2 linked regions of the Drosophila melanogaster genome follow. The gene in region 2 interacts genetically with the main gene of each other region. Each region holds a gene or a part of one and is shown on either strand. Other genes may lie near its edges. The genes, in order: Ndc80 and cmet.

Region 1 (15,685 bases), on a different chromosome or scaffold from region 2:
AGCGAATGCTGCGGTTCGACTAACCAAACTGACGATGAAAAGCGCTGCTACACGTTATGTTAAAGAATTTTTCGTCGCGTTCGCGGAAAAGCCATTTCCACGCACACACCGATCGCCTTTCTATATAGCCAATAGCTGGCCATGTGTGCGAGCAGGCCAGCGCTATATGCCACATATCGCTGGCCGATGTGGCAACAAGTGGGTGGTGGTGGGTGCGCCTGCCTGTGTTGGCTGTGTTCGATGTGTTTTGGGTGAATTTTTCAGGTGGGCTGCAGCTGAAACATAAACTTGTACACGCACACAGCCGCCGTCGAGTTTTCCAATTTTCCATTTTGGCCAGAGCGAGATGAGGCATACGATATTAGTATATACTATACATTAGACCATAATGGCGCACGCACATAACTAGATCATACAATAAGTATATAGCGCATACGGACGTTCGGTGCGTTGGCGGCATTTTACACATTTGTTTTTGGAATCAAATATCGTAGAGCATAAATTTCACAGCCATTAAAAAGTCGGCCTGCATATATTGCTCTATAATATATACGTACAGATGTTCGTGCCGATATATAGCACATATAGTTTGGATTCCTCAGCGGATCGTTGCAGCATTTGAACCCCAGAGTGCACGCCCTACAAAATCTCCAACCCAGTCCGCCGCGATCACCGATCACCCCCTATATATATATATATATATATATATATTTATTTACCTATATCTATATCGCGATCGAACTGCTGACGTCGAACGGCCTTAGGTGGCCCCATCGCATTGCCATTTGTCTAACACTTGAATCTATTCGTCATTGTTCCGATTTTCTTTTTTTATTTCTCTCCTTTTTCTATGCTATTTTTTTTATTTTACTTTCTAACAGATACTTTTGGCAAATAGTTTCAGATACACTTACGCGCCTTGCAGCACTTTAAGCTATCGAATTTAATTCATTCTTTATTGGGTTATTTTTTCGAAGCATACAAAATCAATTTGAAGAATTTGACAAAATCTCTTTTTCCTATATGTAAATTTTGCCAAAAAAATTAATTTTTTCATATCGTTTAATAAACATCATAACACATAAGAAATATTTGTATTAAGTAAGGGTAGTGAAACATATTTTGTTCTGTATTTAATTTTGTTTCTGTATTCTAGTATTAATAAAATTAAAATAAAGCAAAAACTTACAATATTTTAAAAATGTACTTTCATCAACATCGATTTCCGTTGTTTTTTTTTTTGCCAAATTTTTCATAAAATTAGATATAAATTCTAGAAGAATATAAAAAAAAAAAAAAATTTTTAGTTTTTCGCTTGCACTTGTATCTTCTTAAATTATTAATACTGCAAAAAAAAATATTTGGGCTATCTCAAAGTTCCTCAAAATCTGGGTAAAAATTTTTATACATACATGATTACATTATATATGATTACATTACATTATATTATGATTACATTACATTATATATGATTATAGAAAAATTAATTTAAGACTTCTCTTAATTCCTTGCATAAACAAGTTGTTCAAATAAATAGACTTCTGTGTAAATTAAAAACATGCGATGAATATTATTTTAAAATTATATATATTACAATATTCTCCAATAGTAAAATTACTATATAGTCGCAAAGTTTCGGCATTTGTTTTGATTTCGTTTTTGGTTACCAAGTATCTTAAATTTAGAACATTTTTGTATCTGCACCTCTGCGAAATGCAAAATGCACACACCAGATACGCAGATAGATAGATATGTATGCATAGATAATTAGATATGTATGTGTATGTGATATGTATGGGTCTAGGTATTATGCATGGCTTGCCAAAAACCACAAAACTACAGAATCGCAATGGGACACAGGTGGGCAGTTCGAGTTATCTGGGATTTAGTGCATGAAATGGTACGGGCGTGTTCTGTCCAGATATAAACGACATCTGTAAGCGCTTTTTTAGCTGCTTCCAATTTTTGCCTGCCATCTGGCTGGATTCACATAACATCCTCCGTTCAATAAACAACTACGAACCTATTGCAAACATCGGGCCAAATAGCTCAGTGATCCGTAGACCAGAAGTACGGACATGTGCAGATATATACATATGTGGGCGTGAAAGTGGGTGGAAAGTCGGGTATGCCGTATGCCGTATTCAAGTAAATTTCAATTCGCATCATCTTCTGAATGTCCGAATATCAGAATGTTAGAAAGGCAAGTCAGAATATTCGAAAATCAGGGAATAACAAATAGCACAGTTTCGAATTTTTGTTGTTCTATTTTTGGACGTTTTGTGTGGGCGCTATTCGTCTGTAGCCTTCGGTTTTTAGTGCCGATCGTATGCACGAAGATGCCCGATATAAAAAATATATATATATATATATATATATTAAAGTATGTATATGTATTTGTTTAAATATCTTCTATATGTCTATCTATAGGTTAGCTTTCTGGGGCGATGTTTACGGGGAACTGTGGCTAATATCTGCATAGATCAGGAATAACATAAACATTATCCAAGATCTGGAAAAATATTTGATTTCAGACAAGAACGATGGCCCTGGGATTATATGAATGAACAGCGTATCCAAAGTGTCGAATAATTTGAATTGATTGCAATCGGTGCAATCTTAAATAATAAGCTATTGTTGGCTGTGTCACTTGCATTTTTTTTCTACTGTGTATGATGCAAGAAAACAGTTAAAATTCTGAAATATGTTCTTTTCAATTTTAGATTTTAGTGACCAGAATAGTAAGAGCTTCCTATTATAAACTTAAATGTATTTAACACATTAAATCAATGCACTTTCCAGTTTAAAGTTAAAATATATAATTCATAAACTTTTCAATGAATAAGATCAGGTCAAGCAAACATATTTTGTAAAGAACAAACAAGCGATGTGTGCCAATTTTAGAATCTATATGTTGGATGTTCGATTTAAAAATACGCTCTAACTAAATTAAATGAAATGAAAACAGACCAATTAAAAAAAGCAAAAAAAAATTGGGGAAAAGGAAACAACGGAAAAATCCATAAGAAAAAAGACACATAGAAGAAACCCCAAGATGAAAACAGCAGAAAATATAAAAACGTTTAAGAACAGAGCCATCATACACAGTCTGGCTATATAGTACCTAATGCTCCGTCTACTATATGTATAGTATTACACGTTTATTTTCAGAATTTGTTTTTGACTTAATTTTCGGCTTGTTGACACTTGGAAATGTGTATCAGTAGTCAAGCCAACAAAATCGCGACTAAAACCAAAATGTTACAACTATTTCAACATACTCGTAATGATAGTTTCGATTTTGGTAAGTTGGATGATGCTTACGGGTATTTTTGTATAAAAGTAAATACATTTTTTTACCATGCATTAATTCTGATCTCGTGAAACTTGTAACTTCACTCATTAAAATCAAAAAATTTAATTATCCTTTTTTTCTGAATAGTATTTTATCTTGTATTTAAAGTAAATATATTTCTTGTATTGTTTCTTAATAAAGATTAATGAGATACAAAAACAAATTACACTGTGAAGTTTTATTTTCGTTCATATTAGCGTGATTCTAATTCTTCAATGGTTATTTCAAATTCAAAAGTAACCGCCAATTTTCGTACTGGTGTAGTCGATAATGCCGTTGGTCGAAGCGAAACATATCGATAACCGGCAAATGCACATCTAATTGGAGTACAAAATAACGCCTCCTGATATCGATACGCTATCACAAACAAGAAAATAGAATAAAAACAAAATCGCTTGGAAATCGTAAAGAAAGAAAGTTAAATACGACAGATAGATAATTGCAACACAAAATAAGTGCGCCGTGGTCCGAATAGAACAACAATTGCGTGGCGTGGTTACACGAGTGCGAGCGAGAGGGCCGATGTGGTAGTGGCCAATCCAATTGGATATTCATTTTGCAGGCAAAAAACGCATTTTTTGTGGACACCGCTTGCTCCTTGGTACAAGGATAACGACCAACGATGGCCAGCGAGCCGGAGAACAAGCCACCGATCCTGCACATCCTCGTGGTGGGCTTCCACCACAAGCTGGGCTGCCAGGTGGAGTTCTCGCATCCGCCGCTAATCTCGGGCTCCACGGGACGCAACGAATGCCCCTCCGGCTGGAAGTACCTGCCCACTCTGGCTCTGCCCGACGGCTCGCATAACTTTGCCGAGGACACGGTGTTCTTCAACCTGCCCAGTTTGTATGAGCCGGCTGAGAGTATCTACGGCGTGTCCTGCTATCGCCAGATACGCGTGGAGAAGCTAAAGATCCGGACAGCGGACCTCACGCGCAGCACCGTTCAGAAGTCCGTTTGCATATTGGCCCGCCTGCCCATCTACGGGTACATCGAGGTGAAGCTAGCCCTCATTGCCGATGCCTTTTTCGATCAGGGCGACTTCTCCGGCACGGAACTGCTGGCCAAGGCCTATCAGCAGCTAAATGCCTGCCTCCAGGACGACGAGTCGCGCCGCCCGTTGCGCCACTTTCACGTGGGGCTGTCGCTGCGCGAGATCGTACTCCACTGGCGCCACAAGACGCTAATGCTCTTCAAACTAATGCTGCTGCAGCGACGAGTGGTGTGTTTCGGTTCGCCCGTACGCCAAATGTGTGTGCTGATCCTGGGCATGGCATCGCTGGTGCCGCGGCTGCTGGAGAAGGGCTTCCAGGAGGTGGCCTGTGTGCGCACGTCGCGTCCCCTGTCGCCCATGCCGGATTTCACTGACTCCCTGCAGCGGGAGGCGCAGGCCGAAGCCGAAGCGGAACTGGAGGCAGTGGCTTCCGTAGCAGCTGCCACCGATGAGCAGAAACTGACGCCCGAGAGCGCCACAGCGGTGGAGGGCGAGGCCGAAGAGCTGGCCCTCGTCTCATCCGCAGCGTCGGCGGGCGAGGAGCAGGTCAGTGGCGATGACACGTCGACGCGTTCCACGCCCAACTCACAGTCGCAGGACTCATCGAACGGCAGGAACAGCTCGCTGACCAGAGAGGCCAGCGTGGACACACTAGCGTGTGAGTAGCCCAAGAAGTCTATCCCCGTGTTTGGCGTAACTAGCAGATTTAGGCACATTTTAGTCAATTGTAACCTTTGTTATTGCGTTTATTCTTATACATATCATGCCATATAAGTGAATCATTCTAGATAGGAGATAGGAGCGTGCAGACATTAAATATTACGTATGACGCAGTTAACTGATCCGTGTAAATGTTTCGTCCATAGCCAACCTCGCCGCCTTGTGCGCTGTCAATCCGGATGAGTATCGGGCACCGGTCAGCATCTTCGCCAGCGGCAACCTCTGCCTGCCGTATCTGTCGCTACCGTACATGGACCTGCTCAGCGATCCCATGGTGCTCTCCTATGTCATCGGCACCTCCAACGTGCTTTTCCAGCAGAAACGTCAGCTGGCTGACGTCCTGGTGGACATCGAGGCGGCCAATCTGGATGCCCACGATCCGGAGCTCAGGCGTCAGCTGGTGCTGAGCACCGAGGATCTGCGCTACATGGACTACATCATGAAGCATGTGCAATCGCCAAAGGAGGATGCCGAGGGCAGCGAGTACTGGATACGGGAGCAGTTTCAGGGCTATATTCTCGCACTCTTGCGAACTGCTGTGGCTCCAGGTGTGTGCAATCTTTGTTAGCTTTTAGTTGAACCATCAAATGTAAATGTAAATTTGTTTGTTTACAGATGCCACGCCAAAGGACAACGATCATTTCAATGCGCACTTCATGGGCGCCTTCAAGCGCACCCAATGCTTTCAGGAATGGTACGACGTTAGGCCCGAACCCGAGTTCTTTGAGGCCCTGCCCGCTGGTCATCCCTTCGCCGGCACCTTGTCCGTGGCGGACATGAAACTAAAACTAGCACAGTAAGCGGTTAAAATCCTGAAATCCATACCGAAGGGGAACTAAGTTTCTAAACACTTGAAATTTGCAGAACCATGCAAAATAGCGAGAGTGGGCGAAAAATCAACCAGGCGGTAAACACGACGAGTCGTGCAGTGGGCGGTGCCATATCCCAGGCCAAGGGCGCCTTCTCCAGCTGGTGGTCATCCATCACGACGGCCCCGCCCAATGCAACAAATGCAGGGCCTGCGACCAGCAGCTCGAATGGGCAGGAAGGGGATGTAAGCGAAGGAGCTGCAGCCCAAGAGATCTCAGTTACATTCCAGAATCATAAGGACGTCGAAGACCTTGACGTGGCGGGAGTCAGCATCCACCTGGCTGGCCAGGAAGAGGCACACGAGTCGCACGAGTCACAGAGCGTCAGCTGCGACAAGCCGCAAGGCATCGTCGAGATTGGACGCGAGGCGGAGCTGTTGGACAAAACTGCGCAATCGGAGGAGCCCAAGATTGCGGCTGCAAGCCAAGCCGGTCGGCCAGGATGTGGCGGCGATGTGGCCACCTCGGCCGTGGAGCGCAGCAGTGGCGATGTCTTCATTGTCTGAGGACGTTAGCACTATCGGGGTCATTGTATAGAATTGAACTAAGCTAAATGATATTTATTTATTACACAACATATTGTCTCAGTCTCAATGTTGAATTTATAACTACTACTCGAACTTCCCCCCTATTTTTTTGTATACCCATACATATTCTGTAGTTGGTTGACTTGTGGTACACAGAAACCTAGGATTTATGATCGAGCGACAATATACTATGAGATACATCACTACTAATTGAAATAATACCTCATTTTCGTTTATTTTAAGCCCAAAAATGACAAAATATATATCTACGAATACGAAAAAAGCGCACACAAATGAAATATCCAAATTAATTAATTTAATAGCAATAAATGCAAACGTTTCCCTGCAACTTTTTTGTGGCACAAGTCAATCGCACGCTAAACTACACAAAATTGGCCAAATGATAATATTATTTAATATTTATAGATACCTACGCTTAAGTTACCCTTGCCGTATTTACCCACCACTCAGTGTATACATATGTATAACCATGTAAAGCTAAACCGTTCCAAGTGCAATTTGTAATCCCAAAAAAGGCAGCGGAGATCCGTAATGAAATCCGTAATACGTGTGGCAATAAAGAACTTAAGAAATCTGATATTATGGAGTATCATCCCCTCCTTTGTCCAGGAACCGCTGTGTTCAACTCAATTTACCTAATTCAAATGTAATCAAAAATAAATGCATTTCATAAAACATAAAACATTGAACATTGCAGACAGCTTCATTGTCTTTTTTAATTTGAAAACAAAGAATACTCTTTAATAAATTCCTTACAGATCAACTGGACTACAACAAAACATCCGGATCAAATCAATGATTCTTGATGGCATCTAGCACGGGCTGAAAGGATGGCAGCTTGGCGGAGTACACCTTTTGCTCCACCTCGTTCAGCTTGGCCTGAGTCGCGTTGACCTTTGATTCCACGGCGAGCAGCTGGTCCTCCGCTTTGGCCAGCTTCTGCTCGCATTTTTCCAGGCGATCTTGGCGGGCCTTGAGATCCTGCTCCTGAAACTGCTCAGCAGCGGTGAGTAGATCCTCGTTCCGTTGCTTGCTGGCTTCCAGCTTTTCCAGCGCCTGCTTCTCCCTCTTCTCCAACTCATCCAGACGGGCGGTCTGGTCGTACTGATCCTCGAGCAGCTGTTGCCTGTGCTGCGCCTGCATGTCGCGCTTGGTCCGATAACTGGCCTCCATTTTGGTCAGACGCTGTTTCTGCGCCCGCAACTGAGAGTCCATGGTGGCGATTTCGGTGTCTAACTCGATGGAATCAGACTTTACCTTGGCCACCTGCTTGTCCAACATCTGACGCCGATCGATATTCTGCTGGCGGTGCTGTTGCAGAAGTTTGCCCAGCAACTCCAGGCACTGCACCCTCTCCGAGATGTCCTCTTGATTGGGATTTAGTGGCAGAGTAAGGTCCGATTGCTGGCCAATGCCGCTCTTTATCAGGCCACAAATCACCGGGTCCATGCTCAGGTGGCGCACGTGCGAGTTAAAGACCTCAACGGAATCCAGTTGCTTTTGCTTGGCGCGCGACAGCATCACCTGCTGATGCAGCTCCAGCTCGGACACCTCCTTCACCTGGCGCTCATAAGCCTTGGAGTAGTTTTCCATATCGTCGCACTTCATTTGAAGCTCCTTTAGCTGCTGGGCGGAGAACTTCTGCCTGTTAACCGCCTGCTCCAGACGCTTTTCATACTTCATTTGCTGGCGGAGATTAGACTGTTTTTCTTCTACCTGGGCAGACAGCTGTTCGTATAACTTCAGTTTCTTGATCAGCTCCTCTTCACTGGCAGCTAGCTGTTGGGCAAGCTGATCGTGCTCTTTGGTAAGACGTTCCAGTTTGTTCAGTTTATTGTCTTCACTGGGATCATGCAACTTATTCTCCAGTTGCTGTAGTTTCGTCTTCAGATCGCCGATTAGCTGGTCTAAGGCTTTGCGATCGGGCAAATCACACTTCTTGCTGATCACCTGATCCCTGGTCTCCGCCTGCAGCTTGGCCTCCTCATTGGTAAGCTCCTGATCCCACAAGGCAATGCATTTGCTAGCCTCTTCGAAGAGCAGACCATTGACGTCTTCATCTAGCTGAATGGCGTGCGCCTGTGTGGTGGACATGATGGTCGTCGACTCGCAGTGCATGCTATTCAGATACGAGCTGGGCTGCTCCATGGTTTCCATAAACGGAAACTCCTCCTCCACCACATCCGACGAGGGCAGAGGCGGTAAAAAGTCCATGAGAAAGTCCAGCAGAACGATCACATGGCCGAATGAATGCTGTGTTGTTGGCGATACAAGCCATGATTTGTTCACCTGCAAGTCACAAGTGGATTTAAGAATTAAACGAACACTGGAAACCTAAGAGCATCCGAGTTGCTTACCTGATAAGGATACTGTAGCTTTTGCATTGCGCTGGTAATATCCTCGACATGGTTCTGGCCCACTGTCACGCGATTTCGCCAGATGTGGTGGAACATAAAGTTGAGAATGGAAACAAATTGCTTGATGGTCATGTGTCGCAAACCCCCGGGCCGACTGAATAGATCCGCAATAAGTCCAGTGGGCGCCTCGCTGTTCTGAATGCCATGTAGGTATTCCAGGATCTGCTGTGCCCTCTCCGCCACCCATTTCTTGTCGGAGTGTGGCGCAATGGCGCGCTCCGCAGTGGAGGGCACAAACCGGTGGCCTCGCTTGGGCGTCACGCCCATTTGACTGGCCCGATCGCGCTCCAAGTTCAGCGGCTGCGGCAGACGCGATGCGGACGGCCTATGCGGATTGGATTCAAACATTACTGGTTGTGCCTTCGATAATCAAATGGTTGTGCATACCTTCTGGGTGCCGCCTGGCTGGAGGACGGAGTGTGCGTGGCTGCGCTCCGCTTTGTTGCCCTGGAAAAGGATACGCATTTGCATCGTTGACAAGATTTGATCAGTTGGATTTCGATGCTCACCTGGTTTGCCGCTTATCGGCAGTGCCTCGCTCCTCCAGTACATCGCCACGGAACTCGCTGGTCCGCCGGGGCATCAGGTGCGACATCTTGGCGTTATTGAAACTACGTTGATTAAATTAAATGTTTACTCAGTTTGATTGGGAATCGCGCGTCGTTTAACGCCTGTTATCGGCAAATCGATAGTTTCCAGGGATGCAGTCGCGATTGACACCCTAGTGTTACTAAACCATCTGGCAGCACTGCCAAATAAAAAGTGCGCCATTTACTTAAAAATTCTGATTACTTTAGGATCATGCCACCAAAACGGAACAAAAAAGCAGAGGTACGATTGAAATACTACATTATTTCAATAGCTAAATGCATTTCCAAACGATTCTACAGGCGCCAATCGCTGAGCGGGATGCAGGCGAAGAGCTGGATCCCAATGCGCCGGTGCTCTACGTAGAGCACTGCCGATCCTGACGAGTCTTTCGTCGTCGAGCGGAGGAGCTGCACTCCGCTCTCCGGGAGCGTGGTCTCCAACAGCTTCAGCTCCAGCTGAATGCACTTGGAGCACCACGGCGAGGAGCCTTCGAGTTAAGTTTGAGCGCCGGCGGAATGGGAAAGCAGGAGCAGGTGGCACTTTGGTCGGGTCTAAAGCGGGGTCCACCACGTGCTCGCAAGTTTCCCACTGTGGAGGAGGTATACGATCGGATTGTAGGGATTCTAGGTGACCAGCAGGAGTCCAAGGAACAGATCAACACGCAGAAGTTATCTAAAATTGATTTACCGGGGTCCGAGGCTCTAGCATCGCCAAAGAAGTCGGAGTCCACAGAGGAAGCACAGGAAAACGAGGTAGGGAAGGCCCAATAAGTCCAGAAAAAATTAACTAAATATTGTTTTTATCAAAAACGAAGGCACCAACTTCAACTTCAACTTCGCGTAAATCCAAAAAGGAACAGAAATCCGAGGAAGAGCCAACTCAAGTCGATTCAAAGGAAGCGAAGCAATCCAAAGAGTTGGTCAAAACGAAGAGACAACCGAAAGCCCAAAAGAAGCAGGCAAAGGCATCCGAATCCCAAGAAGAAGTTGCCGAAGATAAGCCCCCTAGCAGCCAGAAACGGAAGCGGACCACCAGATCCTCCACAGACGAGGCTACTGCCGGTGCCAAGCGGAGGAGGTAGTTGTGCCCAAAACAAAGCGTTCAGCAATAGAGCCCTATGATCGATGATTGGCAAATCCTCTCGAGGAACCGATCGTTGAGAACCCCTTTGCCTTTGTTGATCGCTCAATTTTGGATCAAAAACTACATACATGAAAAATACTCGAGCATTGTTATTACAAAATATATTAAAACATCTTAGAAACCTATTTCCATTTTTGTTTTTTTTTTTCATTCTCTTGTGGTTCATTTTTGTCTGATTTTTTGCCTCTCATTCGTTAAAATTTTGTGGACTTTGATTTTTCTTCCAAAATGTACATGTTTTCCTTTTTTGATCTTATTTCAATTTTGTCCCTTCTTAGTTAGTTAAAATTTGTTTTCGTTTTTAGCTCAGCTTAATAATTATGATCCTAGAGAAAAAATTTTGGTTTTACGAAATTGTTTTTACTTTTAGCTTCTTCTAATGCTAGAGATACCCTACCACTTGCCTAAATAGATTACAATCTGAATTGTCTCTTTTTTAACTAAAATTTTGGTTAAATAAAAAAAATTGAATATAATATGTGGGGAGGGGTGGGGAGCTAGGTGAAATAGTATTAAGAACATGCAGCAACAGAAACCGAGAGATTGCGATTAGGTGGAGAGCCAGTCCAAAAGGTGGACTTGCCTTAAGTAGAGTCGCAAATACAATGCATGCAAGTATGTATATATATATATATGTATATAATGTCTGTACACCCATATATATAATGTACAATATAATGCAATGGTCTGGCGAACTGCTCTAAGCAAAACTTCGGAAACCAGATGTGAAATATAGTCGTGTATTGCAAAACTATACATAGTTCAAATTGTGCTGTTTCACTTATGGCATAGATGATGCCCGAAAATAATTGATTACGAATTGCCTAACGATGACGAAAAAGGTTCTTTTTAAATTCATTGTCTAACTTATACAACGTTAATAATTGATGGCCTAAAGGGTTTCCTACATTACAAAATTGCTCGAAGAATATTTGCTACATCCATAAGTTTCCGCTCAAGTTATCCTATAGTAGAAGTTCACCAGTCCATTGCTAGTTTAAAAAACAACAATCAATTGGCTATGGGAACGTAAAGTTAAGAGAGGCGAAACATTGGAATTGTATTGGCTACGGCCTGGTGCGCGGTTCTGATCGTTATCCTGATTCTAATCCTGTTTCTGTCCCTGGTCCACAATGTATTTGTTTCCTTTCTTTCATTTCTTGCTTGGCTTTTATCCTTTTGTCGGAGGGGGGCAACAAACAGTGATCAACTAAGGCTTAAAAACTATATTTAAATTATGTGCGAAAAAGTAGGTCGATTCAATAGGCGAGAAAACATTGCGAAAAACAAGGCTTTGATTGATTACACGTCCAGTTAGTTGCTGATAGAGCGGTTACAGATACTTCCGATAGTTGCGCAGATGGGCGTTCGCGTCCTCGACCACGCCCACCGCAGCAGCGGCACTCTCGAAGGATGGTGGCTCGATGACCATGCCGGGACTTGTCGGATCGCAAGACGCTCCAACGGCGCTATTTGGCCCCTTGGCTCGTCGCCTGCCACGTGTTCCCGCTCCCCGCGATCTGCGGCTGTTGGCCGAAGCTCCCGATGCTCCTCCTCCGCCGCCGGATCCCGAAACTCCCGCTAAGCCTGCTCCCAGGCTGCCGCTTAGGATGCCTCCGCTGGAGATTGGTCCTCCATTGCTGCCTGGCACACTCTCGCCAGATTCAATGGCCTCCAGCGATGCGTCCAGCGCCGCATCCGTCGTTGTGATACGCGACCTGGCCGCTGCACTGCGTCTCCGCGAGCTGGAGCTACCGCCGGAATTGCCGCCACCGCCGGCGCCTCCTCCACCACCACCGCCGCCGGAATCTCCACCTCGCTTGCCTGGTCGCCGCTTGCGCCTTTTTTTGTTACCATAGCGCGGATCATAATCGTACTCATCATCCGCCGGCGATTTGGGCTCCTCCAGCGAGTCCACATCGTTCATATCCATGTCATCGTAGAACCACTCCTTGGGCAAAAGCTCCTCTTTGACGGCCTGCTGCTGGTGCTGGTGCTGCTGATGTTGTTGCTGTTGACTGTCCTTGCTGTCGGATGTATCACCGCCGGCGGCACCCAGCGAGCTGGACTCCTCCAGGCTGAAGGCTCCATTAAAATCGTGGGCAGTGTCACTGTGCAGGGAACCAAGTACGGCCGGCGCGGCTCCGCCGCCCGTAAGCATATTGAGCGTTAGGGAGGAGCTGCTGGCCAGGCTATTGCTGCCGGGCATGGAGCCCACACCGCTGGTCAGGCTGCTCAGTCCCAGATTGACGCCGCTGGCCACCAGAGCTTCGTGCTCCTTGCGTAGCGCCTGGAAGGGACGCTCGGGAAAGCGGCTGTATAAGTGGAAAGTTCGTTATTAGCAGGGATAAATATGGAGCTCACCCAACGAAAAATGTAGGATTTGATGAGATTGAATGGCATATACACAGATGATATTCTTCTAACCTAACTCGTTTTAAATAAGATTACCATAGGTAACAGACTCCTAGATTTCCAAGCTCTAATTTGCTTCGCCAGAGTTATACCTAACTTTTCCTTGTGCATGTGCCAGTCACTCAAATCCCGCACCGATTGGTTACGATTCCTCACCTGTACATCTTGCTCAAGTACTGACGACGGCTCTTCCGCCAGCGGGCCGCCGGATACGTGTAGATCTGGCCCTGCCGGAAGCCGGGCATCCGCTGTCGCTTGTCCAGGAAGAGCTGCGAGTGGTTCTGGGCGACGCCTGTCTGCGGATCGAGGAAGGGCAGCCGGTGGCGCCGTTCGCTGCACAGGCGCGTGTTGAAGTTGGCACTGTACTCGATCGTCTCCCGGTAGCTGACATCCTTCAGGAAGCTCTCGATCTTGGCCAGATTCGGCATAGAGACGATCTGGATGTTAACGGCGGAGGACATGGCTGTTCCTGGTCCTAATCCCACTGTTGGCTAACCTCAGAGTCCGGCTGTGCCGCTAATCCATCCCAGAGTCTTGGCAATTTCCGCTCCGCTCCGCCCCGTTTCTTATCGCAATTTTTTTCCAGTGTGTTGTGTTCCGTTTCTTATCGCTTTTCGCTGCCTGTTTTTTTTATTCTTCTTCGTCTTCCACCTCTCCTCTCGACCGACACATACACGCACGCACACACACACACACGCAAAGCTCTCTATCGATGTGACCCCGCGCCAGGGGGCGTGGGCGGCAGTGGGCGTGGCGAGGGCGATACGTTTAGATCGCGATCTGCGGCCGGATTTTCCAATTGTTTAATTGATCAGAAATATTAACGTCGTTTTCACTGCTCTGCTGAATGCCAGTGTTACCAGATGGCGACATGATTTTCCCCCCAAATGTTCTCGACCGACCGGTATTTTTGTCCTAAAAAATCCACTCTTTCGCTTTAATTTTAGCGATCAGTTTTCTTACCAATTTAAGGGCCTGTATAGGTCTGTTAGTTAATTTATGCATTGCAGTGCATAGCTATGTAATGGTATTTTCTAGTTTTAATTACAAGCCTATGTTACAGGGTTTTTGGTTAGTTTTCAAACATCGATAAGTTGTAAGCCAATCGATTGCCGGGCCCACGGTCATACAATAGAGATGGGCAACTGGCGATAATGCCTACCTACCTGTTACGCCAATTTCAAAATAGTAGTTTGTTATCTGGATCGGCACAGGCGACAAAAAAAACTAATATGTTTATATATACGTTATATATGGCTTTGGAAATAAATTACACAATCATATTGGTCAATCATTGTTTCAGCGCACGATGAGGAACTAAAATCTTCAAATTTAAAAGTACAAATTAAGATAAGTCATAGACTGCACAAATAAATAATTAGCAATTAATAAAATAGCTAAAAGAATATTGCACAGGGCAGCAGAGTGTTAACGATTTTCTTATCGATTCTCCTGTCAGCTGGCAACGCCAAAACAAAACAAAAACAAAATTAAAAGAGAAATCAAAACAAGGCAACCCGGTCATTGAAATTTCAGAAAATACTGCTTTGTTTGCGTTAACGGGAATGCTTTTTGCCCCGTAGATATGTATATATCACATAGAGGCACGGCTCACAGAGAACACCCACCAATCCAAACCATTTACATTTACCACTTAGATTAGCTGGTCTCGCAAACAACGGATAAGACTGTATATCAGCTGTACGTACGTACGGCTATTTGGTGATAAAACCGGCGCTATAGTTCCACTGCCACAAAGTAACAAAGAGAAGACTGAGCCGAACAACCTGCCATTTTGATACCGACGCCCCACCGAGATTAAAGCCCACTTTTCCGGATCCCATTCGCAGTTGTCCCACAACCTCAAGGCACTACAAATCGCAACAATAGCCAAATAAGTATAGGATTCCGACGATGTGCGTGATATTCTTTTGTGCGGACTCGAATCCGCAACCGGGTGGCTACAAGCTCATCCTGGCCTCCAATCGGGACGAGTTCTTTGCCCGCGCCACCCTATCGGCAGCCAAGTGGGCGAATGCCGATCATGTTTACGGAGGTAAGTGGTGGGGCTTATGCCCTTGAATGCCTATGCTTAGATGGAGTATAATCCTTGAGAGCTTGTATTCATCAAGATGTTACCTATAGTTTAGTCACTAAGATGATTTGATAGCAGTTTGTTAGAATGAACACCTCTCACAAGATCTGTTTCCCAGCAACCTAATTGGATTTCAAGCCATCTTACCCATGAGTGCGGGATCAACTTGAGTAAATATTTATGTATTCCCCCATTTCAGGGATCGATCTGGAGCCGGGACGCGAGGGCGGCACCTGGCTGGCGATCGGCCACTCCGCTGGCTTCTTTAAGGTGGGCGCCCTGCTCAATCTGACCGGCGAGCCCAAGCCACGCGATGCAGTTGGTAAACCCATTTGAGCTACTTACTAATCCAAATTGACGCGCACACACACGCACACACACTCATCCATACACCTAACACTTGGCCCGAACTAAAACTTTCACAACCGCGACCAAAGAAAAAGCAAAGCAAAAACAAACTTTCTTCGTTTCTGTTTTCTGTTTGAAGCGCACAAAAACATTTTGCAACCGCATAATCACAACAGCAACAGCACCGGCA
Region 2 (15,607 bases):
ATGCTTTCTTTCTCAGACTGAAAACTGGCTTCCTTGGATTTCTAAAAATCATTTTTTGAAATCATTTAAAAATCTAGCAACAGGATATCACACTTACCAGAGTTGACCGGAGCTCTTCGCACTCGCTTATCAATTCCTGAACCTTACTTTCATTTTGCACCTCTTTGGATTGCTAAAAGAAATCAATGAATAATTTTCTGTGAATGATCGTGTGAGCTCCTCTATTACCATATCAAATCGTAGCTTTTCGCACTCTCTTGTCACTTCGTCAACCTTCTGTTGCCATCCAAGGTTATTTTCCAACGTTTTCTTCAACTGCTCTTTAGTTTCTTGCAGATCGAGTCGTATCTGGTCTGAGTTTTCCTTTAGGATCATTTTCGTGTTTAAAAAAACAATTTCATATAATTATAACGCTAAGAAAAAAGCTTACCAGATCAGAGCACAGCTCCTCACACTTCTTTGTGAGTTCTCCAATTCTGTTGCGGCCCAGCTCCACCTCCTTGGTAAGCTCCGTGTGCCTTTGATATATTTCTGATTTATTGTCTCGCAACTGCTGTTCAAGGCTAGTTTTTGCATCTTCCAGTTTGACTAATTTTTCTTTTAGGGAGATACACATCTTACTCTCCTCATCCAGCATGTTCCGCAGATTTTGGGAATTTCTCAGCTGTTCTTTGAGTTCTTCATTTCCGGACTCTAGCATATCTTTAGTTTCTTGCATGGAATTGAGCTTCAAGAGGAGCTCGTTTATAGACCCTTTTAGATTAGCCGCCTCACGTGTGAACTTTTCTGCCTGGTTTGCCATCCGCTCCTCGACATCTTTGAGCTGCGTTACCAGAGTCATTTGTTCGGCACTCGCGGTTGCCTTGGCATCCATAGCGGCCTTCAGTTCTTCGCGTAGCTCATTAATTTCCACATCTCGACTCGATATTCCCTTTTGGGAATCAATCAATTCCGTGTGCAGGCTCATCACTTTCTTTTGCAAGTTTGATGATAGTTCATTTGCCTCGGCAAGACAGATTTTTAGGCGTTCGTGCTGCGATACCAAATCGTCATAGAGAATGACTTTATGTTGTGCCTCCTTCAGGACTTCTTCGAGATCGGTTATCTTGAAAGTAAATGTCTCGAGCTTAGTTTCGAAATCACACTTTTCCTTCTCATTCCGGTTGCTTAGAACTTTCATTTCAGCTTGGAGTTCCTGAAGTTTTTCCATGGTGCACGAATGCTCTGAATTCGCTTTTTGAATCTCTGATTCCAGGGACAACTTCTCGAGCCTACATTTATCCAATTCCAGAACCTGCTGGTCACACTTTTCCTCGAGCTCAATAATCCTTTTCTTTGAAGAGGCCACAATCAATTCCAGCTTTTTAATATGTGCTTCTATTTCGAAACTGATTTGATCTCGAGTAAGCGATTCCATTTGCAACTGCTCCTGCGTCTTACTGCACTGCTTCTCTAATTCGATGTTGTCCTTTGTTAATTTATTGACTGCCAAGTCCTGCTCAGCTTTTGTTTTCTCCAACTCAGCAATGGTGTCTGACATGACACGTCCTCCATTTATCATCTGCTCCAGTGTCTTTTTGACCTCCTCAAGCTTCGAGGCTCCCTTATCGCGATCTTCTTTCGTTTGATTCAATTGCTCCATTAGGGTGGCTCTCACCTCGTTTATTTCCGCTCTAAAGGCATCTTCCATTTTTGATTGTTGGGTGCTAGCCTCAGCTAGCTTATTCTTAAGAGTTTCCCTGATAGTCTCCATTTCTGCCTGGTGCTGGACAATCAAATTGTTTCTTTCCTCCACAGCCTGAGAAATATTTTCTTTATGAGCAGATTTAAGCGCTTCCAACTCCGCCTGACAACGAACCGTAACGCTGGAGAGTGTCTCCTCTACCTGCAATAGCTTCTCCTTTAACTCGGCCACATTGCTCTCATAGCGATCCTTAGTCTCCTGCAATTCAGCGTAGAACTTGGCTTGGTTCTCTTTCTCATTCGTTTCAATTTGGAGCAGGAACTCCATTCGCAAAGCACTTATCTCATCATCTTTTATCCTTCGCACATCGTGTAGCTCATCTTTGGCTGCATTTAGCAATTGATTAAGTTTCTCGATCTGACTATCATATTGGGAGGAAAGTAGTATCTGATCCGGCTTTGCATCCGCAAGACTGAGAGATTCTGTCGCTTTATGATACTGTTCAACGAGCTGCGCGTTTTTCTTTTGAAGCTGATCGATAAGGCATAGGTCATCGGAGAGCTTCTGCGCCTGACGATCCAGTAGTTCTTGTTTTTGCTTAGTGTCCTCATCCAACTCGGCTAGCCTCACCTCCATCGATAAGCAGCGCTCACTCATTTCCTCAAAATCCGTCTGTAGTCTCGCTATGTTCCCGTCTTTCAACTGGATCTGCCTTAAATGGTTTTCAAGTTCTGCTTTTAGATCAGAAACTTGTGACTGCAATTCTGTTATGGATGTCTTTAGCGTGGCCACCTCCTGTTCTCGTCTACTGGGAGATGTAGGGCATCCTGGAAGGGTATCCTCGTCAGGTGGAACTCGGAGCAGACTCTCGCTCATCGAGCTCTCCCTTGTTACTCTATCCTGCAGCTCCTCGTATACCATTGTCATCTCCGCATTTTGTTTTTCCAGGGACTCGATCTGCCGCTGGTAGTCCTCAACCTTGTTAATTATAACGCTCTTTTCGAGGAGTGCCGACTCTAGGTTAGTCATCTGCTCTCGCATTTCATTGATGGTTGCCTCTGTTGCCTCCATAAGTGCACTCTTCTCTTCGATTTCCTGTTCCAGCTGCGAAATAATATCAAGCAATCGCTTCTCCTCTCCCATATCTACATGTTCCTGGCTAAGTCGCTTTATCTGAAATCTGTGTCGCTTGAGAAAGCCTTTGAGACAAATAGGTTCAGTTGCATCGGATTGACGATTGTCTTCCTCGATGTACTCAGCAGACTCAAGGCAAAGCTTAAGTCCTGGCTCGCTCTGATCCAGTTTCATTTGGTTGGCTCTAAAGAGGCGACTGATGCCGGAATGATGCTGCAGCTCTATCTGTTGGACGGACTCAGAAAGCTGAACAAACTGGTGTAGAAGGTTTATATCCTGCTTCTGTTCGTCAAAATCGGAGCTTATACCGGAACTCCTCATAGACTCCTCAACGTGACTCGTGGGTCGTTGCTTTATCTCCTCTCGCAGGGCATCGTTCTCCTGGACACTCTCCATCAGTTGATTGGAAAGGCAATCGTATTCCCGCTGCATCTCTTCAAAGTTCGTCTCCAGTTCTTTGATTTTCGCTGTAAGTTCGTGATTTTGTATTCGAAGCTTTTCCACAGTAGATTCAGAGTTTTGGACTTCCGTAAGCATGTTTTGGGCCTCCTCCAATCGTTCATTGAGGGATGCGATATCGGCTTGAAACTTCGTGTTGTCATTTTGAAGCCGTTGAAACTCAGCGCTGGAGGCACTTCTTGCCCTGCTTTCTAACTGCTCATACTCCTCCTGCAATTTCTGGTATTTCTCCTGCACGTGCTCGTGCTTTTCATGTAGGGTTGTGATGCCCGCTTGTTGAGCTTGCCACTGTTGGTCCAGAGCGTCGTACCTTTCCTGAAGTTGTCCAAAGGCATTCTGGGATGTGGATAGCTCTTTCGAAAGTCGCTCGCAATCAGTCGCCTTTTGGATAATCTCCGAGCTTGCCAGGTTAAAGGCAGATTCAACGCTCTCTAACTTGTCGCGAACAGAGACGATTTCCAACCGGAGCTGATCACACTCGCATGAATTTTTCTTGGACTCTAAATCTGCAATCAGCTTCTCCAGTTCCTCACACTTGTTGCATATACTGTCGCCGGCGATGTCTTCCTGCTCTGGGGCAATGGAAAGCATGTGGCCCTCCTTGCTGTTCCGTAAGACATCGCGGGTTAAATTGTCGAGGGACTTTTGAAGACTCTCTATAGTCGACTCCTTTTCTAAAAGGGCAGAGAGTAAGTCATCCACGCGAAGTTTCGATGATTTCTTGTGAGCCTCAAACTCAAACTCGAGGCCCACGGCCACCTGATTTTCCACTTCCATTATTCTCATAGTCTGCTTTAGAGTACTCAGTTTCTCTTCCAATTCGCTGATTTTTGAATTCGCAGCCTCATTATCCGCTCTTAGGCTGGTTACTTCCTTTTCCAGAGCATCATAACTATAAGAAGATACACAAGTAGTAAACTATTGTTAAACACTAAAACTATAATAAAATAAATCAAACAAACAGGTATTGTGGAGTGGTGTTCTATAAACAAAATTTACTGTTAAAAACTGAAACATATACTTAAGTGTTTTGTTTTTATAGAATGGAATAGAATATCGCTGCACTAGTTTTACAGATTTGTATGAATAGGTATGTTAGATTTTGGGTTGACTGCTTAAAGCACAAAAGTCGAGTTACGTTTACATCGTTTTTTACGATGCAGGCACTATGTTTTGGACGACAGATTCCTTGACAGAAAACACCTCATTAACTCACCGCTCCTTTTCGGCTAACGATTCTTGCTCTAAATTATCCCGCTGTGCTGTAACCTCGGCCAGCTTTTCTTTTAAACCCTGCACCTCTTCGCACTCCACCTCAAAATGCTTCTCTAAGCTGGTGAACATTTGCAGGTCCTGGATTTCCTTCTTGATTTTATCCGTTCTGTGCAGGCAAATAAGTGCAGGGATCGGGTCGGGGTATGTGGATGCGATTGTTATGTGATGAATGTTATGGAGGATGATCAAAAAGCTTGCAGAAGTACTTACGTTAAGGGACCCTTGGGAGTGAGGGGCAGGTCTGGCAGTTGCCTGATGGTCAACATGGGTTTGAGGACATCTGGGCGAGGGGAGCCAAAATCAATGCATTCTGCCGGGAGAAATTCCTCACTAATGGAGTTGCTCTCGGTACCGATATCCAGGGAACCCAAAATGTTTATGGTCTTTGGAATGTTGTCCCATCGTTTGCCTGCATTTGAAGTGTGAAAAAACACTGGTTTTGGAAGGTGTGAGACCTTTGGAAATTGGTCAATTCGATCTTCAGTTGTGCCGGTCTCTGCTAGCTCCAAATGCGATCCCGATGCAGTGGGACACCAAGTACGGCGACGCTTCTGCTGACCCTTGTCGCTCAGGGAGTGACCACAGATTATCTTGTGCATGTCGTGTTTTATTTGTCTCTCCAGATGCTCTACCTTTTGCTGGTTCTCGTTTTTGCGCTCTTCTTCGGCCAGCTTATCCTTAAGCACCTTTATTTCTCGCTCCAGCCGCTTCATCATTGTGGCGTCAGATACCATCTCGTTGACTTGGGGCTTAATGCGAATTTTCTTGGCTCGCGTGGCGAAACTAAGGGTAGACTGCGACTCTTCCATGATCGATGGTTTGATTGTGCAAATGATGGATGTGAATGCATTGCCGCCCAAAGAAGCCTGCAGAATGCGCGTCAGCTTGGAATCGCGGTAGTTGGTAAATCTATTGTCCGCGTTTTCCGACAGACTTTTGATAACGTTACTGAGAAAAAGTAAGCTCTTGTTTATATGACCGCCCTCTTTGAGGCGCGCTCCTCGAGCACCCGTTTGGTCCGCCCGCTCTGACCCAGCCAGATCCACCAGGTTCAACACGCTTTGAATCACTGCGTCGTCATCGCTGTGGTCCGACTTTCGGGACTCGATGATCTGTGGGATACATGTTGCAGATTATCGGAAAGAAAATAGCAGGCTGCACTTACTATCTTAAATATGGCATGCGAACGGCTGGACCGCTCGTTCATGTTCGTCTCGCCCACGGTGCGCTCCTTATTGCCCAAGCATAGCAGGCGCAGGAGGTCAACCTCGCTGGTTATGATGCACTCCTCGCAGTTCACATTCACAATCCCATTTCCGGACTCATGGATCTTGAGGTCCTGATTCTTCTTGTTCAGCAGATCGTAGATCTTCTCGTTGTAGATCTCGATGTAGCCCACGCGCAGCAGAAAGTCCCGCTCCGTCTCACTGGAGATCTGTTGAAAGATCTCCTTGGCGGCTAGCACCATGACGCCCGGATTCTGTTCGTCGCCCATCATGGTGTACGTCTTGCCTGAAATGCATGCCCGGTTTTAGGTATACCGCCGCGTATATATAGCACAGTACCCACCCGACGACGTCTGGCCGTAGGCAAAAATAGTTCCGTTGAAGCCCTGCATGCAGGCGTGCACTATGTGCTTGGCCATCCGGTCGAACACCTCCTGGTTGCTGGCGCCCTCGTCGAACACATAGTCTGCCAAACGGAATGGAATGTAAATGAGATAAAGGTCTTGTGGATCAGGATACGCTCAACGCTCTAACCACTCACCGAAGACATAGGGCTCCGCATGGCTGTCCGCCAAGTGGATGGAGCGGCGCTCCTTCACCTGCCAGAGTGAAGTGAGCCCGGGCTCGCAGGGACGCACCTTGATGCAGACCTGGATGGAGCTGGCGTTCTTCGCAGACATCTTGGCGCCTTCTTGGTCTCAATGCTTTATGATAAACAGAACGCAGTTCATAAACAAACATAAAATTCAATGTTTTACAGTAAACAAACATTGATCGACATCTTTGTTGCTCGTTAAATTCGAACAAATGCCGCTTTGCAAAATCAGGGATGTATATGCTTCGATATCTTCGAGTGGCGCTAACGACTCGATAGATAAATCGGTTCATCGATTGTTATCATAGTTCCAAATAGGGCTGCAAAAATAAAAACAGAAACACATTATGTTCTTATCCCACAGGGCTGCATTAACATTCCTGATCAAGGGTCGCTACGGCATATATATATTCTAAGACGTTGTGTTCTTATTGGTAGGGCATGCTAACTAACAAAGTTCTATGACTCAATACTTTAAGGTCAAACAGAAAATAGAACAAGCTCTTAAATACATGCGAAAACTACGGTTTAAATTTCATATAAGTTCGTATTTTTTCTACTAATTCATAACTTCTATTCATAGCACACATATAATGTGGAAAGTATTTGATTCCAAAACAAATATTTGAAATAAATTATAACTAAGCTCCCTAATATAACCACTATAATATTTTCCAAATTTTCAATTTTCCTATTTTTTTTAATAGTGAACAACTGGGATTATTATTCCAATGAAATCTCATGTTTATATCAGACAGTATTCTTCTGTATGCATTAAACAATCCCCTCAGCTTTTGTCTGTCTGTAAGTAAGCATTTAATTTAGCGGTCTTTACTATTTTGGAAATATAGATAATAATAATCTATATTATATATCACGAAAAAGCTCGGAAAAAGTTTTATGTTCGAAGCCTATTGGATTATATTTTCATATTCGCCGAAAGCTCCTCAAACTTTTAAATTGAACTGGCTCGCGCCTATTTACTGGTTCCGTATTTCGATCTGGTTCGCTTCCGAAGCGGTATTTGTTCGAATTTACAAAGAGAAACTAACATGTCGATCAAACTAGCTTTTATAAAACGTTAAAATCTGTTTGTGTCTGTTCATTGTGCATGTCAAACACGTTTCCCACAAGTCGCAAAGATGTCTACGAAGAACGCCAGCTCCATCCAGGTCTGCATCAAGGTGCGTCCCTGCGAGCCCGGGCTCACTTCACTCTGGCAGGTGAAGGAGGGCCGCTCCATCCAGTTGGCGGACAGCCATGCGGAGCCCTATGTCTTCGGTGAGTGGTTAGAGCGTTGAGCGTATCCTGATCTACAAGACCTTTATCTCATTTACATTCCATTCCGTTTGGCAGACTATGTGTTCGACGAGGGCGCCAGCAACCAGGAGGTGTTCGACCGGATGGCCAAGCACATAGTGCACGCCTGCATGCAGGGCTCCAACGGAACTATTTTTGCCTACGGCCAGACGTCGTCGGGTGGGTACTGTGCTATATATACGCGGCGGTATACCTAAAACCGGGCATGCATTTCAGGCAAGACGTACACCATGATGGGCGACGAACAGAATCCGGGCGTCATGGTGCTAGCCGCCAAGGAGATCTTTCAACAGATCTCCAGTGAGACGGAGCGGGACTTTCTGCTGCGCGTGGGCTACATCGAGATCTACAACGAGAAGATCTACGATCTGCTGAACAAGAAGAATCAGGACCTCAAGATCCATGAGTCCGGCAATGGGATTGTGAATGTGAACTGCAAGGAGTCCATCGTAACCAGCGAGGACGACCTCCTGCGCCAGCTCTACATGGGCAACAAGGAGCGCGTCGTGGGCGAGACCAACATGAACGAGCGGTCCAGTCGTTCGCACGCCATCTTCAGGATAGTGAGTGCTAGATTCTTGTATTAATCATATAATATGCAAGATTATTTCTACAGATCATTGAGTCCCGAAAGTCGGACCACAGTGATAACGACACCGTAAAGCAGAGCGTACTGAGCCTGGTGGATCTGGCTGGATCCGAACAGGTGGACCCCGCGGACCACGCATCCAGCCTTATGATTTTTCGCAACTTGGTTAAGAGCCTCTCCGAGAGTGTAGATAGCAAGCCGAATAGCTTTCGCGATTCGAAACTTCCGCGCATCATGCTGCCTTCGCTGGGTGGAAATGTTTTGACCTCTATCATCTGTACAATTACGCCATCGTTCGTGGAGGAGTCGTCATCCACTATAAGCTTCGGCACGTGTGCCAAAAAAATTCGTTGCAAGCCGCAGGTCTGCAAGATAGACTCTGAAACCACGATGATGAGGCAACTTGATCGCGGGATCAGTATGTTGAAGGATAAGCTTGCTAAGAAGAAGATCAAGAATGAGAGCCAGCTGGTATTGCAGGAATTGGAAGGTCGCATCAAGCGCGACATGTTGAAGATCGTTTCCAGCGCCTCGCTTGACGACTATCGCCTCCAGAAGCGTCGTCGTACTTGGACTTTAACCGCCTCAGGCTCAGAAGGCGACGCTCCTGTTCTCGCATTGCCTGAGCCAGAGGAGTCCCGTCTACCGCGTCCTTCGAAGCTGACTAACCTGCCGAAACCCTTGTTTCAGCGGCGGGGGATTGCTCCCAAAGCCAAAGGCATTTGTAAAACCCTAAAGGAGAAAAGGTTACAAACGGATAATATGGACACTATGCCTGGCCGGGCGAAACAGTTGGGAAGAGAGACAGCTAGCAGAATTCCTTCAGTAATGATGTCAAAAAAGTATCAGGAGTCGGTGCCGAAGTAAGTAAATTTATGAATTATTTATTTTACTTTTAGATCTAGAGTTATAAAAAGATTCAAATGAGTTAAACAAACGAAACTACATAGTATTCTACGCGACTATATCGTTTTGAAAAGTACTTTAAGTAAGCAATTTTGCGCATTTTGAACATACCAACTCACCTCTTGCGCGCACTCACCTGACACCTGAACTAAAAACGAGGTGGAGACGAGTGCGGCGTGCTCTTCTACTCGGCTGTCTTCTCGTGCGGTCTTCGCTCGCTCTTCTTGCTTTCTCGCAGCAGTCGCAGCGAAGAGGGCAAGCTGTCTCAACTGGGAGTCCGATCGCGAAGAAATCGAAAACAAAACAAACGCCAACGCAAATAGCCGTCGAGAAGGAAAGATTTCTGGGGGAGAATCCGGGAGCGGAAAGAGGCGAGGCGACGCCTGTTGTGAGCCAGTTTTGCGAATAGACTCGGCTGGATGCGATGTGACGCCCCAGCTACGATCGCTTTGTGGCCCTGGAAGCGCGATAAGGCAGTCAGCCGATCGACAAGGTAGTTAACTGGCCAACTTCTTGATAATTTGATCGCTGGAATTCCGCAATGCTCATTGTATTTGCCGCTGTCCGTCAGTCAGCACGCTTTTCCTCCGCCCATCGCTCTCGCGCTCCTCCCCCGATCGTCTTGGGTGATCGATGACGTCGGCCCTACTGTCGATCCACCAACGTTATAGACTGTGATGTAACGCATATAGATTGGCTAACCGAAACCGAAAAAGTGAGTGAGTGAGTGAGTGACTTGGGTAAAAGATCTGCGCTCAAAATAATAGCACAGTGCAGTTGCACTTCTGTTTCGTTTGCGAAAATAAACAATTTGTGAAAGGTGTTTAGATTTGAATCTTTAAAAACGCTTCTATTTCTTTGACCATGTTCGCGTAACCCACACATCTCGCCTGGTGCAACTTCAACTTGAATGCCGCCAGCTGCTTCTATTTTTAGTGGTTTTTTGTGAACGCCGGATTCCCTCAGACAGCACCCATTTAGCTAGGCAGAGTAAATAGCTTTTCGTAGCCATGCGCGCACTGGAAATATAAATAGAGTTAAAGTATATTTATGGAGTTCCTGAATTTACGTATTCATTCAAATCCCTCAATTTTCCTATCAATTACAGCTGCGATGCCCCGCAGACCGAGATCTCTGCGCTTACTGCATCCAACCAGGTAGCAAAGGAGACGATCGAGAAGTACGAGGAGCAGGTGAAGAGGCTAAAGGAGACAATTGAGCGGCTGGAGATGGAGAACGGCAAGGCAGTCAATCTAGGGGAGCAATTCGAAACACACAAGGCCAAGTCGAAGCAAATGGAGGAAGAACTTCTCTCCTCCATCTCCGAAAAAGATTCGACCATAGTAAGTCTGCAACAGTCCCTTGAGGAGCTATCTCGGGATGTGTTGCGAAACAGCAAGGAGGATCAAATGCGATCCATGTGCCCCGAGCTTGAGTCCAGCTGCGAGCGGATCTGCAACAAGTGCCTGGAGTTGGAACGGCTACTGCCCCTAGCGAGTGCCTCAGGACTGGACTCAGTCGCCTGCCAGTTTGATCAGTTGCGATCGGAGATTGCTGCCACCCGTATGAAGTTGGAAAGTATGCTGTCTACTTTCAGCCATGCAAGCTGTGAGGTATCACAAAAGACCACTGATTGCAAACGGCTCTCCGAACAGATATCCACAGCGCATGATGACTTTGGACAATTGCAGGAAAAGTACAACAACCTGAAGCATAAGTGGTCTAGTCAAAAGCTGGCCATTGATACCATGCAGGTTGACTACAATACTATACAGCAAAAGTACCTACAGCTGCAGGACGAGTATAGGCATCTGGAACTCAGATCGGATGAACAGTGTCAGCAGCTGCAGGATGAAAATTCTAAACTGCAAGCCGAGATTGGAACTCTCAAGGAGCGAGTGGAGGAGATCCATAGTGAGCTATTAGAAGTTCCCAATCCGGATACTCATCCAGAAGATATGGAGCTACAAAATCAAGAGCTGAAGAAGCGCCTCTCCAAGTTGCAGTGGGAGTTTGACGAGATCCAACTGAATTACGAATGTCTATCCAACGAATTGATGAGTACTATTCAAGAGTGCGATGCACTCCGAGAGGAGCACAAGCAACGAACAACGAACTCCGATTTGGAATCCATGAAGAGTTCGGGTGTAGGCACTGAGTGCAGTGATCCGGAAAACGAATTGGACACTGATCTGCTGCAACAGTTCACCAAGCTGTCGAAGTCCATCCAACAGATTGAGCTCACCGACTACTCCGGTGGCAGGCGCCTCTTTATATATAACCATGCCGAACAGGATCAAAGCGTGCCAAGCCTAAAACTTTGCCTTGAGCCTGCTAAGTATTTAGAGGGTGATGGTAAACAACATGATGCATCCGACTCCGTATTCCTTAAAGGCTTTCTGAAATGCCAAAGATTTCAGATTGTCAAAATAAATCAGGAACAGAATTTGGTGAAAGAGGAAGACCGAATGCGTGATATCATTTTCCAACTGAAACAAGAAGTTGACGGGAAAAAGAATCTAATTGAGGAAGAGAAAGAAGTTATTAACAATTTGCGTGCACAAATTACCAGCCTGAATCAAATCGAAACTATAAAAAATCAAAATGCCAAGACAAAAATATTGTGCGAGGAGTTGCAGACTAAAGATACCGTACAGACCGCTAACAAGCAGGAATCTCAGGAAGTCCTTACTCTCAAGACATCCCTTGCACATCTGAAGTCCAAGGTGTGTGAACTGCAGAAAAAACTTGAAAAGCAGTCAGAGGACGAAAAAATATCCGAACTGCAGTCGGATATTGGAGAAATAAGCGAGTGTTGCTTATCCATGGAACTGAAGCTAGCAGACATTGTAAATTGGCAGGCGGAGGAGTTGCGCCCTCTAGATCAGCTTCAAGAAAGCGGTGTCGAACTGCAGCACCATAGTACCACAGCTGAAGAATCTCTAAATGTTGAGAAGCCTATCCAGGAACAAACTGAACGAACTCTTACCACCGAATATGAACGCCGAATCGAGCAACTTGAAGAATCATTACAAAGGGCACAAGAGGAATTAAGTATTCTGGAGAAGCGAAAGACAGATGAGAACAAAAGCCTTCAGCTTGAGTACATGGCGAAAATTGAGACGAGCGAGAATGAAAACCGCTCCAAATTCCGTGCATACTGCCTGGATTTAAAGGAAACCCAGAAACGCTACGAAGAGCAGCTACAGCAGACCAATGAAAAGCTCGCCAGTGTTACGACTCAGTGTCAGGTGCATTTGGATGTCATTAAAAGATCTCTTCAAGAAAAGATTACTCAGGCCGAGAAGGAAAGAAACGAATTGGCTGTCCGACACAAGGCAGAGCTTGAAAAAATCAGGGAAACGCTGAAGGAGAAGGAATCTTCTTACAAGGAGAAACTAAGGCAAGCGGAGGAGGAGCGCGATAAGGAAATTTCTAGGCTTGAGGTGATGCGAAACACAATAGCAGAGCTGCATAAAACGAATTCTGATCGGGAAGTGGAACTCGAGGGAGTGAAAATGGAAAAATGCCAACTTAAGAAGCTGTACGACAAAAGCATGTTGGAGCTAGAACAACTGCAATGCACTGCCGACCAGAAAAGTTCGGATTTGCTGCCAGGCTCGTCGAACGAGAACATCGATGACCTGCAAAAGAAGTGCGATCAATATGTTCAGGATTTGGAGCTGTTGAGGGGCGAGAAAGCAGAACTGCTATCGGAGATCCAGAAAATCAACGGACAGCACTCGAATACCATAAAAAAACTTGAGGAAATCGAAGCGGAAATGATTACACTAACCACTCAAAAGGAGTTGGAGAGGTGTGAAATTGCAGAAAAGCTGGAGACTTTCAAGTCCAAGGAGGCAGATATCAAAGAAGCTCTGCACTGTGCCCAGCTCAGGCTTCATGCCTACGATAAGCTGGTGTGCGAGTACGAGCGGCTAAAAGGCTGTCTTTCGGATTCAAATAAGTTGTCGGAAAATCTGCAGAAGAAAGTGGAGCGTTTGCATGCTGAACAGCTTGCTTTACAAGAAGGAATTTCCGGCCGAGATTCAGAGATTAAACAGCTTCGCTCTGAGCTCAAGGACGCCATTGATGAAAATAAAACAGTGAGAGAAGCAAAAGTAGGCCTGGAAAATAGTCTTAAAGCAGTACAGGAAAATATGTCTGCCCAGGAAGGTCAGTTTAAACAAAAGATTGCTGATATTAAGGGTTCAGTAGACGAGCTTCAGATTAAACTAAAATCTCTGCAAGAAGTAAGAGACCATCTAGAGTCTAGAAATGAAGAGCTTAAAAGAAAGCTAAAAGATGCTCAGGAACTACAGAACATGGTGGATAAGGAGCGAAAGCTCAATTCCTCTCTACGAGAAGATTTTGACAAACTGGAACAAACCAAACTCGATCTCGAAGAGCAGCTTCGAGCCAAGAAAGTAGAAATCGATCGCCGATCCAAGGAGCTTGGCGAAGTGACCAAGGATTGCGAAAATATACGATCCGATCTGGTAAGTTTTATTTATTTAACGCCTTCACTTTTGTATTCTATTATATTTTATTCTATACCAGGAAGCTCAAACTAATGATTTCCTAAAAGAAAGGGAAACTTTGAACTTGACTATATCCGATCTTCGGTTGCATAATGAGCAATTGCTAGAAACCTCGAAAAATTATCTATCAGACATAACAGCAGCAAATAATTTAAATCTCGAAATGAAGAAGAATCTTCACGATCTCACAAAAGAGTGCAAGAGCTTACGTTCCGATCTGGTAATAATTAATCTGGTAATCTATCTGGTTGATTACAATATAGGTAATTAAAATTTTTCAGCAATCCAAAGAAGAATATTTCCAAACGCAAAAGCAACTGTTGGATGAAACAATTTCTAATCTAAAGGAGGAAAACCGCAAGATGGAGGAAAAGTTGAGTTCGGGTAACAAGGCGCTCAAAGAGGATTGCGAAAAGCTCCGTTCAACATTGGTAATATTAGACTTGTCTTTGTAGGTTATTCGGTCGCTAATGAAATATTTATTTAGGAATCAAAGGAACTTATACTGCAACAGAATAAACAAGAGTTAGAGGAAAGGCTGACTGTTATTAATGAGAAGAATGGGAAAAACGCACTACTTGACGCCCAGTTGAAATCCAATGAAACCGCCTTTACATCACTGCGAAAGGCATGGATTAAGCAAAGTTTAGCCATAGAAGCGGCCAATAAAAGAAGCCTCGAGATGGAACAGAAGGTTGATAAACGTACGAGGGAGTACGAAGAACTACGATCAACTCTGGTAGAATAATTGCAATCAAAGGCTCTTATAAAATAGCTTAATGTTTTCTCTTTAAATCGCCTAGAAAACCAGGGAAATCAACTTTCGATCGGAGAAGGAACGCATGGACGGCACCATCTCTAGCCTGTTAGAAGACAAGCGTAATCTTGAGGAGAAGTTGTGCACAGTCACCGAGCTCCTGGCTAAGCTAAAGCGCGAACTGCCGGCTTTACACACGCAAAAAGTGAACGGAGGCGATGTGTCCATTGAGTTGAATTCCTCGAATGGATCGCCGACTCCTGCAGCTGTTCCAGCAACAAAGAAGCCCCTGGACTGCAATTCCGCTGAATGTGTGCCAAAGGTACGTATGATCTTCTAAATTTCAAGCATGTAATATTTTTTTTATTTCTCTCGTAAAGAAATCCAGCAGCCTAGAGACTGCGGAGCGGAAGAATCGACGGATGACGGCCTACGATGAGAACCGTAAGCAGTTTTGCTGAAACGACTTACGTGACGGCGGAACTACGACCGTTCCTTTAGGTAAGTTAAGGTTTGCTTGGCCGCGAAATCGTCTAAACTTTATGTGGTTTTAACTAATATTGCAGGTGGCAATTGCCACTGCGAGCAGCGGAGCTGCAAACAAAGACTGAGTTCGGACTGGAGGCAAAACGTTGAGTTCAACGATGATAAAAAAGATGATTAATGTTATCCAAGTATTAGGGATTTCTTTTGTTAGGTGTTATCTTGCAAACGGTGGAATTCCACATCATAAAGTTTTCTATTTATATTTACGCCCTAAGTATTTGTCAAATACTATCAATACAAAAATTACAAAAACAATCGTGATCGTAGTATTTAAATTTAAATCTGTATTATGCTGGTTTTTGTTTAATAGTTAAATTCGATAAATAGTTAAATATTGTTAATTAAGAAATGTTTCCTTCATCATGTGTAATAATATTTGGTTCATATGTATAGCATTGAATAAACTATTTACATTTTCTTAATGTTAAAATCAGATTCGCATAAGTTGCTGGTTCTAATAATAAAAGACATAAATTACTTAAATGTAAATCTAAATAAGCATAACGCTTCTTGTTTGAATTCCCGATTGCACCAATCGATAAGTCGATAGTAGCGCAAATACATATTCTAGTGTT

The links.
Region 1: of cmet (region 2) and Ndc80, changing one enhances a phenotype caused by changing the other (phenotypic enhancement), as found in Drosophila melanogaster (one study listed by BioGRID).

The regions. Positions count from the first base shown.
Region 1 is NC_004354.4:13,602,468-13,618,152, forward strand, and holds Ndc80 (Ndc80), read right to left. Parts: upstream 9,596-15,685; 5' UTR 9,499-9,595; coding exon 9,413-9,498; intron 9,351-9,412; coding exon 9,291-9,350; intron 9,229-9,290; coding exon 8,844-9,228; intron 8,776-8,843; coding exon 7,279-8,775; 3' UTR 7,204-7,278; downstream 1-7,203. Other genes in the region: CG11178 (uncharacterized protein), read left to right, coding at 3,978-5,007, 5,216-5,617, 5,685-5,865, 5,934-6,444; tth (toothrin), read right to left, coding at 11,971-12,952, 13,209-13,513; Tango2 (transport and golgi organization 2), read left to right, coding at 14,967-15,108, 15,347-15,469, 15,635-15,685.
Region 2 is NT_033779.5:11,262,389-11,277,995, forward strand, and holds the start of cmet (CENP-meta), read right to left. Parts: upstream 6,615-15,607; 5' UTR 6,459-6,614; coding exon 6,320-6,458; intron 6,245-6,319; coding exon 6,122-6,244; intron 6,065-6,121; coding exon 5,718-6,064; intron 5,665-5,717; coding exon 4,763-5,664; intron 4,659-4,762; coding exon 4,494-4,658; intron 4,170-4,493; coding exon 431-4,169; intron 364-430; coding exon 229-363; intron 173-228; coding exon 98-172; intron 42-97; coding exon 1-41. Other genes in the region: cana (CENP-ana), read left to right, coding at 7,516-7,654, 7,730-7,852, 7,910-8,256, 8,310-9,145, 10,297-13,687, 13,749-13,949, 14,011-14,160, 14,217-14,468 and 2 more.